2 linked regions of the Drosophila melanogaster genome follow. The protein of the gene in region 1 interacts with the protein of each later gene in a pairwise test. Each region holds a gene or a part of one and is shown in the gene's direction. Other genes may lie near its edges.

Region 1 (6,380 bases):
GGTATTTGCGGGTATGTGTGTGCAGTCGTGTGTTATTTGGTGTAAATTATATGGCCGAAAGATGCAAAATTAGCCAAATAATGGCTGCCTAATGTGCCGGAAAGCTGGCGAGCAAAAGTTAATGGCGAAAATCCTTTAGTCCCCCACCATAATGAAAACATAAAACGGAGCCACTAAAAGCAAATCGACAGCGGCACATATTTGCTAATCCAATAAGTGTTAGCTGCTTCACTGCCTGCGAAAAGGGGTGGGGCATTAAAGGGTTAAAGGAACGCATAAAATTTGAATACATTTTCGCCACTCAGAACGCTTAAACTCGTTACCTTAGCTAACGCAAATAATTCAAGTCGACGTTTTATTTTATTTTTTGTTGCCCTGTCAAACGTGTTTCGCGGTAATTGAACGGACTTTAAATGCCAGCCAAAAACTGTACAAAATGCGGGCTAACACAAACGGCTTTGGTCCAGGTTTTTCTTCTATTCTCAATTTTTTTTTTTTTCATTCTTTTTTTTATTTATTTGCCTTTGACGTGCCACTAAAACTGAGGTTTGGGTGGGTCGACGGCGAGGGGAAAGTAAAGCCAAATGCAGTTGGGACTCAATGGCGACTCCTATGCAAAAGAAGCAATGCTCGCCAACGCGACGACATCGAAACTTTTCCTATTTTTTGTGCTTTTATTTTTGGTGTCGCTGGTTTTAACCAGCAAAATAATTTGGTTATATAGAAAATAGTATCAGGAAAAAAGTTATGCCCAAAATATAACAAGAAAATAATGTAAATACCTTGAAAAATATGAAAAACCAAAATAAATTGTATAAAATATGTAAATATATGGAATATAATAAATTATATATTTTTGTTTTTTAAAAAACTTAACAAGGTACACATGTAACGTAAATTCTTTTTTTAACCTATCTAAATTAAGGCACGAAAAATTTACGAATGCTATTAAATAGGTTTTCATAAGCCTGCATATTTCTGAAGCACCCCAGTCCGTGTATGATCTCAAAATATTCAGGGTATTATGACTTTCCATGGGGACAAAGTCGAGCTGAAAACTGCCCCACAGAAAGAACAATTTTCGGGTCGAAAAGGCGCTCCATGGCAGCGAAAATGGCAAACTGACTTCAAGTGGCATTTTGACATTTTGTTGAATTTCAACTCGCTTTTCGTTTTGGGATGCAACGATGGGGTCCGAGGTATGTATGTAAAAAGTGAAAGGGGCGTGTTCAGGGGGCCAGAAAACTCGCAGGTGGCTGGGCATGCAAACGAAATGCAAAGAGACGCATATTTTTTTACTTAAATTAGAAAAACAATTGCCAGCGTTGTGGGTAGTGAAAGCTGCAACTTTGGTCAGCAGGTTGACCACACAAAAAGTTCGCAAAGTATTTACTTTTTTCACGATGCATTTCAACTTCGCAGAGCTGGTGTTAAAACTTCGCCATTTTGGAGCCCAGCTTTTTACCCATAAATTGTTTTTTAAGTGTAATACCAAACGAAGTTTAAAGGCTTTTTGTTGAGGTAATTAAAAGACTGGACTTAAATTACGAGGAAAACATATACAATTTTATCAAGTTACATTATAGAACTTAATCACTTATATCACTTTATAATAACCACAACATTTTCAGAGCCTTATCGTTTTTTTTTTTTTTTAAATAGTTTTTAATATTTTCACATACAACTCGAAAACTTGTTGCACCATCTCTAAGTGTGACCATTACTTGAGATCACATCTTAACTATCGATATGGCGTTATAGACGATTTCAGTTTGGCGAAAAGTTCCGTTAGCAGCAAGAACAAGAGCAAATGCATTGTAACCACATAATATTAGTACTAAAGTTGTTGTTTTTGTCCCATTGAAAATGGAGTTACGCAGCCGAACAAACAGGAGATTAGTTGACTTCCTCAAAAGTAAGATATTCTAAATTAGACGTCCTTAACATACATACATATATAACTAACTATTTGCTCAGGCGCAGGCGTTTACGAGGAAGGCATGGATATTGAGGAAATGACCGAATTAGCAAGTGTCGTGCAGCAATCAGCTAGTATCAGTCCCCAGGATGAGGATCTAGAAAGGGCTCTGCACGTGGGAAAAGTATTCAGTTAACAATAAACAATAAATAGTAATTAGCTTCTCATTAATGTCGACAGGAGAGCGAGTCTGATTTTTTGACTTCGCATCCCAGTGCTTTGCACAACTCCACGATGATCATGTCGCCGCAAGTGTCCAGAAGAAATCCCTCAGACATGGACAGTCCACCGAGCGAGCCGATCCGTATAACTTTTCGGGCTTTGGTGCACCGTGCCATGGACTGGAGTCCCACCACGGGCAATCAAATTCCCGATCGCAAGCGCATTGCTGCGGATCGCAATCAAAACGTCGAACTAGTTGGCAAACGTTCCAGAGCAACGCCGGCTATCAGCATTGGCCAGGCACCGGAGGATGAGCCGCACAATGCCGACGCCACACCCGTTTCCCCGGGCAACGAATGCGACTCCGGCGTCAGCTGGGAGGAGATATCTTTGTCCAGCGCCAGCGATAGCACCACTCTTCCTTCCATCGGCGAAATGCCCGATCGACATTTAATCAGCACCAGCAGCGTCGCCGTCTCGGATTTCTCAGATGCCAATGAAATCAGCCAGGAATAGGCTATTTCCGCCCATGTCTTGTGGTTTATGTTTCCCAATCGAATGCAGTAGAGATTTTACAATGTTTATAGCCCACATATGTCTAAGAAAGAGTACTCGAATAAGTTAACTATATGTCACATTAAAGGATTGAATTTATTGCATAATTGTGGCTTGTGTTTTTGGTCGAGCTGTATTTATTCCAATTCCAGTTTCCTTAACTATTTAGTCATAAGCATGTCAAGTTCAATAAAAACGAACACCCAATATATAAAAACATTTCCAAAGGTGGAATTAAATTGTGATGGCTTGACTTTACATAAATATGTATAATTACATTTGTATTTGGAAGTTTGTAAATTAAGCCTGTTGTACAACACTGGTACGTCTTTTTATAGGAATTTAAACTTTTTATGTTTAACTGCCATTTTAAGGCTAAACTTAACCAAAATTTTAAGGCTCAAATTTACCAAAACCTTTAGTATAAATTTCTATTTTTACTAAATGTTAAGAACACGTGACTTGAGCTTTAACTGAATTTTATATATTAATTACATATGCTCCAGTAAGTTTTCAACAGTATTTTGATCAACACTGATGTTCTTATTAAACATTCCTTGGAGTGGACACACTGGCCGCACGGCTTTTCACATTGTCATTTTCCAGGAGCTAGGCGTTGAAAATTTGTTAAAAATGTAATTAAAATTAAAGCAGTTCATTAAATATATTGATGGATTATTCATTGCAGGTCCCAATCAAAGGTTCCTCATATTGTGGGCGATGATGATGAATATCAAGAAGCTACGTAAGACTTCATTAATTTAGCTTCAGAAAAACACTGACAATATATGTATTTCCTTTCTAGTGCTCCCGAAAGTGACGAGATTACCTGCGAGTCTTCTGTGTAAGTCTTTTTAATATAATGTTTTGATAGATTATTTTTAAGTTGCCTTATAATCAGGGAAAGTGATCAAGATGATGACTGTTCCAACGAAGATGAGTGAGTAAATTTAATGTTATAAAACAAAATCATTTTTCTTCATTTTGTGAACCTTTTAGTATGGATTTGGATGGGGCAGACTGGTCCCCATATGTCACTTATGAGGCGGGTACACCGTAAGTTATAGTTTCGTAATGTAGAACGTGGAATAACGGGTTCGGATTCTCTACAGAAGACGTCCCCACAGTGCTTTGGAGATTACCGAAATTACCGAGTTTCCGAAAATTCCAAAGAAAAACCCCACCTCACCCGAACTGGTGATACAGAAGCCAGAGACTCCGGATCAAAACGACTCGGGATCTCAGGAGCGTCTCACCTTCTCTCGCGCCAATAATGCGCTATCAGAGTCCATTGGAGCTCGCGTTTCCCAACGTAGCAGGGGCAACTTGGAACCATTCATCCGTAGAATGGCACGTAGCCCTACGCCCGAGGCCTCAGAGGAAAACGGCTCGGTATCACAAGGTCAGCTGCTGGCCAAGCCCGTGGATGTCACCGAGTTCTTTCACCGCATTGCTGTGGGTCTCGTCGAGCAGCGCGTCTGCTTGAAGCCTTTCTTGGCATTGCGCAAACATATTGCTCAACTGGTGGGTCAGACTTTGAAGAAATCCAAGAGGATGCGCCGTTAATCCATTTAACATCCAATGTTACAACATCCATGTAATAAGTATCCTATAATATCCAATAAATAATATATTGCGTTCACCGATTGGATATGAAGTTAACTCAAATTCGTAAATTTAATTAAATTAATATAAAATATAAAAGTAAAATTAAGCACAATATTAGTATCCACACGGTTCGTCGTCCATTTCGGTGCAATTGCAGTAGTTAATATCGGGAACGTTGTCGGATACCAGATCATCCTCGGCAATTGTTACACAGCGCACGTTACACGGATATTTCTGGGGAATGGACTGATTTAGGTGCTATCGATGGATAGTAAATGGATAAACCCACCACCACGACCAAGGGATGTCCATCATCGTCCGTGAGTCCCACATTATCGCAGCCATCGCCCTCGTTCTGCCGGTGAACTATGAACTTGGTCATACAACAAAGCACGATCTAAAAAGATGATTGACTTAGGGAGGTCTTATCTTAAAATACAATTTTGTTGCATATTCAAATTTTTTGATTTCAATATGACTTACGCTAATGAATTTGACAGAATTTAATGAATATGGCTCCAATATTCACCATTGTTCTGACTTTAAAACGTTGCCCATTACCAATTACTTACCAGAAACTTAAGGGCCAGGACCCATAACGCCATCAGGATGTAAAAGCAGTTCCACACCGCACTAACGAACGCAGGCAAGCATCCGTTCGCATTGATTGAGTCCACGGTGAGAGCGGGAAAAGGCTGCCGGCTATTGCCACCGATGGACTGCCCCTCACTGGGCAGGAAATTGTTAAAGCAGCTGTCGCAGGAGCGCTTGCAGCAGGCGAAGGGTGCCAGGACCATCGACGTGCAGTTATTCTCCCGCCGTGGCATCCACTCCGCGTTCATCCAGTCCTTGTAGCCATGCACCCCGCAGCACTCCTTGTGCCACTGCAGTCCGTCCCACAGGAGTTTCCACTCGGGACACGAGTAGTACATGTCGATGCCGCGGGTCAGCGAGGTGTCCGCCGCATTCTCGAGGACATCGACACCCCGGTAAAGATTCCAAACGCACCCGAAACCGGAGGCAATGATTACGCAGGAGTAGAAGGCCCACACGGATAGCAAGAGGCGAATGTTCGGCGTGCAGCGACGCCGCCAAATTCGCCGCCACATGGCAATGCTGCAGAGAAAGGTCACCACCACCTGGGCGCCAAACACGTAGATCCCAAACAGATAGCCGTAGACCAGGCGGCACTCAATATCCGATAGATAGCCGGTGAGCACGGTGTGGTAGTAGGCGGTCACCACCAGGATCAGCAGTCCGATCACGGCCTCGGTTATTAACAGCAGGTGGAGGTAGACGGAGGCTCGGCGGAAGGGCTGGCGCATTTGGTCATCCTCGTGGGCATCGATCCAAAGTTTGGCTTGTCGACGAGGTTTTAGCTCTGAACTCGAATTTCATTTGGATTGACGCTGATTGCAAGGACTTGGGTGTTTGAATTTTAAAGTGTACTACAACTTGAATTTAATTTTTTTTATCCCTAAGGGCAGTAAAAACAATGATGCATTGAAAAATCGCTTTACAAATATGTATATTTACATCTTTTTATTTGGTAAGCAGTTGATAAATGTATACACTTAACTATATTTCAGTTTAAAACCTTTTCATTTTGGAGCTTGATCAGTTGGAGCATATCCCACTCATGGGGCAGCGGTTTACCGCACAAAGCTAAACTTGAGTACGCCAGATGTGTAGTCCGTATTGGGTCCAATCTGTTTTGCATCCACCTTTATCAGCCTTATGTTATCAACGCAGCGCGAACTTTGAACTATTTCCGGATTGATATCGCTATGCCGGATCCACAGCTCTAGAGGGCGAATGCGCCAGCTTTGCTTGGCCAAAATGGCAATACACCTCCAGACGAAGGATTCTCCATGGCAGAAGGTTCGAGTGATGTCGAGGACTCTCAGCTGTCGACAATTGATCACGAATTCCAGCAGGCCCAAAGGACTCTCCAACTGATAGCCACACAAATGGAGTTCGGTTAGCTCACCCAGTTGACTGGCTAGCTGCCGCAGTATCTGATCCCCCAGGCACTGCACCTGGACGCCCTCCTCCTTCTCCTCCTCTTCCTCTGGCT
Region 2 (6,622 bases), on another chromosome or scaffold:
CCTGGACTCGGGATATCACAGAACCCTTGGCTGAGGAGTCATCTACAAGTCAATTGCGCCCGCTGGGTACCTCGATTCCAACCAATTCGACGGCATCGGAACTGAAGAAGTCCAACACTTCGTATTCCTTTACTGGAGACTATCTATCTGGTGGCAATAAGGCCGATCTGAAGGGTGGCTATCCATTCGGCGGCACCGATACGGACACAAAAGCCAACGAAAAGGACAAGGAGAAGGAACATACCGCAGACGACTCACTCTACGAGTGCAACATATGCCTGGACACCGCCAAGGATGCTGTGGTCAGCATGTGCGGCCATCTGTTCTGCTGGCCGTGCCTGCATCAGTGGCTCCTGACGCGTCCCAATCGCAAACTCTGTCCCGTTTGTAAGGCTGCCGTTGATAAGGATAAGGTCATACCGCTGTACGGAAGAAATAGTACACACCAGGAAGATCCACGGTAGGTTTGAACCGCTTTCAACATGAGTATTTTTCAATAACCCAACTTATATGTGTTTTGCAGTAACAAAGTTCCACCACGCCCCGCTGGACAACGTACAGAACCAGATCCTGTTCCCGGGTTCCCTGGATTCGGATTCGGCGACGGATTTCACATGTCTTTCGGTATTGGAGCTTTTCCTTTCGGGTTCATAACATCTAGGCTCAACTTTTTCGAACCACGTCCACCTGGTAGGTTACATGCCATCTCAATAGTTCTGAGATTGACATTAAATAACATTTGCCCATGTATTTAGCTGATATTAGAAGGCTACACGAAGATGAACCCTGGGCCCTGTCAAAACTGTTCTGGCATTTTGTCGTTTTTGTGATATATGGGCTGCTCGTTCCAATAGTGCACGGATCATCCCGATAAGAAGAACCTATATTCAAATGTCAATGGAAAGCGTGCGAAGTAATCAAATAGCAGTATCCTCCAGTTAAATCAACAATATTGTTAAACTCGTTGGGCTATAGTCGTTGGTGTGATTAATTAACATAAATTGTTAGCATTCGGTTATAATTGTAATTTGAGGATTCGCAAAACAGAAGTGGATTGGGTCCCAAATTATTTCAAAAAGTCTGCAATACCCTACGACTTCAGCATAAAAAACTGAAATTTCGAAATAATTGGATCGTAATGATTTAATTCAAATGTAGATTTCAAAAATTGTATAAATTTATATTTTAAATTCTATAAAACATTAAAAACATTTATTTTAATTTATTTTCCGTGTAGATTATTATCGATGGGTGAAAAAAATCATTAAGTTTTTGCTTAACTTAAACTGCACAACATTCTTTTTAGGGATCAGGGATAACGTGAATTTCGAAGATGCTGAGGATATGGATGCATGTATGTACATGAAGATATCGGCTTATCTTGAGTATGAGATGTATGATATATGTACCTTCTACCGATCGCTCTAGAAGATCGCCTCCTTTAAGTGGGCCAGTTTGTTGGCAATGGAGGGGGACGCCTCATCACTGGCTCCATAATTGGCTGTGGTGATGCGCTCCACCTCCTGGGAATTGCCGATAAAGGATTCTGCTCCGTGCCAAGAAGCTCACTGCAACCAGAGTCACCAATGGAACATATAAATTGAAAAAGTTTTAAATTTCGTTTGCTTTGTTTTGAAAGAAGCCAGTTCTAATTAGGGATGGTCACGTGATTTCTGCACAGTGGGTGAGCTATCGATTACGACTTAAACGTTTATAGATGCATTAGCGTTGTACAAATCAGCTGTTCCTTGTTTTGGTTTAGTCTAATATCAATAAAATTATTGAATTCTTGACCTTTGTTGTGACCAGATCGTTAGGAACTAGAGATAGTCGAGTGAGTCCTGCTATCGATTGTCCATGGCACACAACAGCTGCTTATGAATAGTATTTAGTCTTGTAAATGTATTTAGTAGTTTATTTTGTTTACAAATCAATCGAGGACTGATCACTGATCACTTTTCAAAGGATTCATTGAGATCCGAGATTTTTCACCTAACTCGATAGTTATCGAACGCGAGCGTGGACTTTGGTCCGGTGGAGACGGGCTGTTATACAGGCAGCTATTTACCGATAGGGTAAAGGTCTATCGGCCTCGGTCAGGTATCGTCAGTGCAGTTGTTTTGAGGTGCTAAGACGTCAATTGATAAATTCCCAATTTTACCGTAACATAACACACTTGTCCACACAATCAATTTAGCAACATTCTCTGATTCGGTTTAACAATACTTAGCACGGCAAGTAGAAGCAAACTGTGAGCGAAAACAAACAATAAAATGAGGGCAAACAAGTCAGGTTTTGCAAACAATACACTTACAATGTATGTAATTTCGAGAAGTTATACTATTTGCTGTGCCCCAGGAAGTTATATATAGTTTAATTAAGTTATAATGCGTTTAAACGCAATCCCTGGAACTCGATGTATATGAGCATATAATTCCCCTTGACTCCAATAGGAAGTGCTCCATGAAAACATCATGTGACATCTTTGACATCTATACGTACTGTATAAATAAGCATATAATCGGTTCCAATGTACATATGTAACAGGTAGATGGAAACCTTCTAGCCCTATATACACGCGAGTGTTTGAGTGTGTAGATGTGTACATAAGTACGCACATAAGTCCAGGTACATATGCAGGTATACCGTCTTGTTTGCCAACGCAATTCAAACAAAATTTGACTTTTTTGTTTAATTTATGTGGGTGCAGCCAATGGGAATGTTCGGTGCATTATCCTTGAAGACTTGGTGGTAAATACGCCCTTTGGGCGGTTTTCGTAGCCATAAACACCACCCCATGGGGTCGGACAAATGCTGAATGCTGCGGAACTCGGGGGAAACCCCCTTCAAACTGCGCTTGAAGTATTTAATTAAATTAAGTCATATTCAAGAAAGTGCGGACCTTAGTTGTACACCAGAAATGGCCTAGGAAAATCATCTAAGCAATCTAGGCACTTGTCAATAGGGTGAACACAGACTTACTTAGCAAATTTGGGTTTCTAAATCATCCAACGTTACGTTGCAGCTTGAACGACTAAAACTTTACCCGCATCTTGGGCAAACCATGGAGGAACCGAAAAGTGTACCCACAGCGGAGCTTCCCAGCACATCAACCGGGGCATCGTCGTCCTCATCGACTTTGTCCAACAACGTGAGCTACGACAAGATAGCCTGGACTCGGGATATCACAGAACCCTTGGCTGAGGAGTCATCTACAAGTCAATTGCGCCCGCTGGGTACCTCGATTCCAACCAATTCGACGGCATCGGAACTGAAGAAGTCCAACACTTCGTATTCCTTTACTGGAGACTATCTATCTGGTGGCAATAAGGCCGATCTGAAGGGTGGCTATCCATTCGGCGGCACCGATACGGACACAAAAGCCAACGAAAAGGACAAGGAGAAGGAACATACCGCAGACGACTCACTCTACGAGTGCAACATATGCCTGGACACCGCCAAGGATGCTGTGGTCAGCATGTGCGGCCATCTGTTCTGCTGGCCGTGCCTGCATCAGTGGCTCCTGACGCGTCCCAATCGCAAACTCTGTCCCGTTTGTAAGGCTGCCGTTGATAAGGATAAGGTCATACCGCTGTACGGAAGAAATAGTACACACCAGGAAGATCCACGGTAGGTTTGAACCGCTTTCAACATGAGTATTTTTCAATAACCCAACTTATATGTGTTTTGCAGTAACAAAGTTCCACCACGCCCCGCTGGACAACGTACAGAACCAGATCCTGTTCCCGGGTTCCCTGGATTCGGATTCGGCGACGGATTTCACATGTCTTTCGGTATTGGAGCTTTTCCTTTCGGGTTCATAACATCTACGCTCAACTTTGGCGAACCACGTCCACCTGGTAGGTTACATGCCATCTCAATAGTTCTGAGATTGATATTAAATAACATTTGCCCATGTATTTAGCTGCTAATCGGGGAACAAGGCAATACGAGGATGAACAGACCCTGTCCAAGCTGTTTTCGTATTTGGCCGTTGTGTGGATATTGTGGCTGTTCTATGCATAGCAATCTGCGAACGCATAAAGACATCACCCCGATAAGAAGAACCTATGTTCAAATGTGTATGGAAAGCGTGCGAAGTAATCATATAGCAGTATCCTCCAGTTAAATCAACAATATTCTTAAACTCGTTGGGCAATAGTCGTTGGTGTGATTAATTAACATAAATTGTTAGCATTCGGTTATAATTGTAATTTGAGGATTCGCAAAACAGAAGTGGATTGGATCCCAAACTATTTCAAAAAGTCCGCGATACCCTACGACTCCAGCATAAAAAACTGAAATTTCGAAATCATTGGATCGTAATGATTTAATTCAAATGTAGATGTCAAAAATTGTATAAATATATATTTTAAATTCGATAAAACATTAAAAACATTTATTTCAATTCATTTTCCGTGTAGATTATTATCGATGGGTGATTGGGAGCGATTGAATCAATAGGAATAAAATAAATTATGGGTATAATAGAGGGGCTTTTAAAAAATCATTAAGTTTATTGCTTAACTTAAACTGCACAACATTCTTTTTAACTTGAAATGGCCATTGCCTTAAGAGCAAAAAAATAAAACACAAAATAAAACTGATGGCTACTTAAAATATTTTAGCTAAGCTAGGCGTTCGCCGAAACGGATTCCACGAACTGGATGAAACGCTGCCAGCGGGTCGCGAACTAGAGGATGTTTTCAGGTGGAGCTTGGGCTTGGCCGCAATACTTGTGGGACTGGGAAATCCGGATGAAATGCCCGATGAACTGGCCGCCGATAGCGTTGATAATGAGCCCTTCGACGACAATGGCTGTGCGTAAACAAGGTGAATTTGTTTGCTGATTTTTTACGTATGATTAATAAACAAAATGCACCTTCAAGTAGTTGCGATCCATGGGCGTTATCACTCTCAGCTCGAGTGTAGAGCCGCAGGATTGTATGAGCTGCACCACCTGCTGATGGGAGTACCACTTCACGTCCACGCCGGCTATCTCGACTATGAAGTCTCCCTCCTTGATGCCGCCAAGCTGAAAATAATGCCTACAGTATACGACGAATCGATGGAAGTAGCATTTACTTACGTCTGCCAAAGAATTAATCTCAACGTGGGCAATGATCACCGGAGCATCGCCGCGCACATGGAAGCCAAAGTTCTCAAACTCCTCCTTGTACAGATTGTATCCACCATCGTGCTCCTCGTCATCATCGTTATCCAATGGGCACTTGTTGTCATTGCTGGGCACGCTGTGATACAGGGAGGAACCTTTCTGGAGACGCACACATCTGGGCGCTGTCCAGTGGCGTCTCGCCGAGAATATTGCAATCGGGCCGAGGCGCTTGAAGGGATCCTTAACCTTGTGCGATGTGAAGTCGGGTCCGGTCAGGGATAACGTGAACTTCGAAGATGCTGAGGATATGGATGCATGTATGTACATGAAGACATCGGCTTATCTTGAGTATGATATATGTACCTTCTACCGATCGCTCTAGAAGATCGCCATCTTCGATATTTTTGGCTGAAGCTTGCAGTCTGAACTTCTCGAGCTCCTCCTGCGATTTGGAGTGCACCTCCTTCATGACTTCAGTCAGTGATGCCTTGTTCTTAAAGATTAAAGTTAAAGGTTAGGTTATTAGGCTATAGGATATAAGAAGTATATTTACCTTCAAGAACCGACACATCCGCTGCAATCGCTGGGCTTCCTCGATACTGGCCAGCGCCTCCTTTAAGTGGGCCAGTTTGTTGGCAATGGAGGTGGACGCCTCATCGCTGGCTCCATAATCGGCTGTGGTGATGCGCTCCACCTCCTGGGAATTGCCGATGAAGGATTCTTGGTTCTTTTGACTTGACTTTGATGCCTTCAGCTCGTCTGTCGCATCTATGCTCCGTGCCTTGTAGAAATGTGCGAATGCTGTTGGCGTTTACAATCATACTTTAGAATGAATATTCCCATTTCGAGGTGATAACCAATTCTACCTTTGTAGAGTTCCGCCTTGACTGGCACTAGACCGGCCCAGCATTCCGGAAGATAGGTGTGCGTATCGTTCGCCTGGATATTCTTGTGCATCTCATTGTACTCGTGCGATATTTGAGCAGCCTCGCCAGCCAGATCCCGAAACGCCTGGCAATCGTGCTGTATGGTTATATAGATGGTAAAATTATGTAACTACATACTATATACTATATACTATATACTATATATGCTGACGGAAACTCACGCTCATCGCCTCGATCTGCAGCTGAAGCTTCTCAAAGAGGCATTCTCGTGCCTGGGAAAGCATCAGGGAAACGAGCACGTCCAGGACCTGTGGCTTCAGGTCCATCGATGGTGCATTCGTGAACGTATCGTAGATGTGACGAAAGACCCCGGCGGCCCGTAAAAAACTATCCACGGCCAAGTCAAGACCCCGTTCCGTCGTGCGATCGTGTCGAGCGCCGATCTGTGTATATATGCCGCCCAGATTGAACAGGGTGCAGGCTTTCTCGAACGCGATGGTCCGCTGGCACGAGGGAACTCCCGTGAGCGAGTCGTACCACTCGAAGTACACGCCCAGGTTACGATCCGGCGGAAAGAAGCGACGCTCCACGTAATACAGCGTGTTGTAGTAGCGGAAAA

The links. Proteins that work in one complex are often made in the same cells at the same time.
Region 2: the proteins of CG14932 (region 1) and sordd1 interact in a two-hybrid assay, tested with the Drosophila melanogaster proteins (one large-scale study listed by BioGRID).

Annotation. Positions count from the first base shown.
Region 1 is NT_033779.5:11,786,676-11,793,055, forward strand, and holds CG14932 (uncharacterized protein), read left to right. Parts: upstream 1-3,243; 5' UTR 3,244-3,328; coding exon 3,329-3,330; intron 3,331-3,383; coding exon 3,384-3,440; intron 3,441-3,500; coding exon 3,501-3,539; intron 3,540-3,596; coding exon 3,597-3,635; intron 3,636-3,694; coding exon 3,695-3,751; intron 3,752-3,807; coding exon 3,808-4,261; 3' UTR 4,262-4,336; downstream 4,337-6,380. Other genes in the region: CG14931 (uncharacterized protein), read left to right, coding at 1,867-1,915, 1,978-2,102, 2,159-2,656; Tsp33B (tetraspanin 33B), read right to left, coding at 4,418-4,537, 4,593-4,700, 4,876-5,628; CG14937 (uncharacterized protein), read right to left, coding at 5,956-6,380.
Region 2 is NC_004354.4:15,791,505-15,798,126, reverse strand, and holds sordd1 (suppression of retinal degeneration disease 1 upon overexpression 1), read left to right. Parts: upstream 1-2,098; 5' UTR 2,099-2,125; exon of another isoform or gene 2,126-2,317; intron 2,318-2,551; exon of another isoform or gene 2,552-2,640; intron 2,641-2,710; exon of another isoform or gene 2,711-2,966; intron 2,967-3,025; 5' UTR 3,026-3,064; coding exon 3,065-3,630; intron 3,631-3,693; coding exon 3,694-3,860; intron 3,861-3,925; coding exon 3,926-4,026; 3' UTR 4,027-4,406; downstream 4,407-6,622. Other genes in the region: sordd2 (suppression of retinal degeneration disease 1 upon overexpression 2), read left to right, coding at 1-460, 524-690, 756-874; Rhp (rhophilin), read right to left, coding at 4,615-4,818, 4,883-5,035, 5,090-5,415, 5,480-5,609, 5,670-5,917, 5,983-6,139, 6,225-6,622.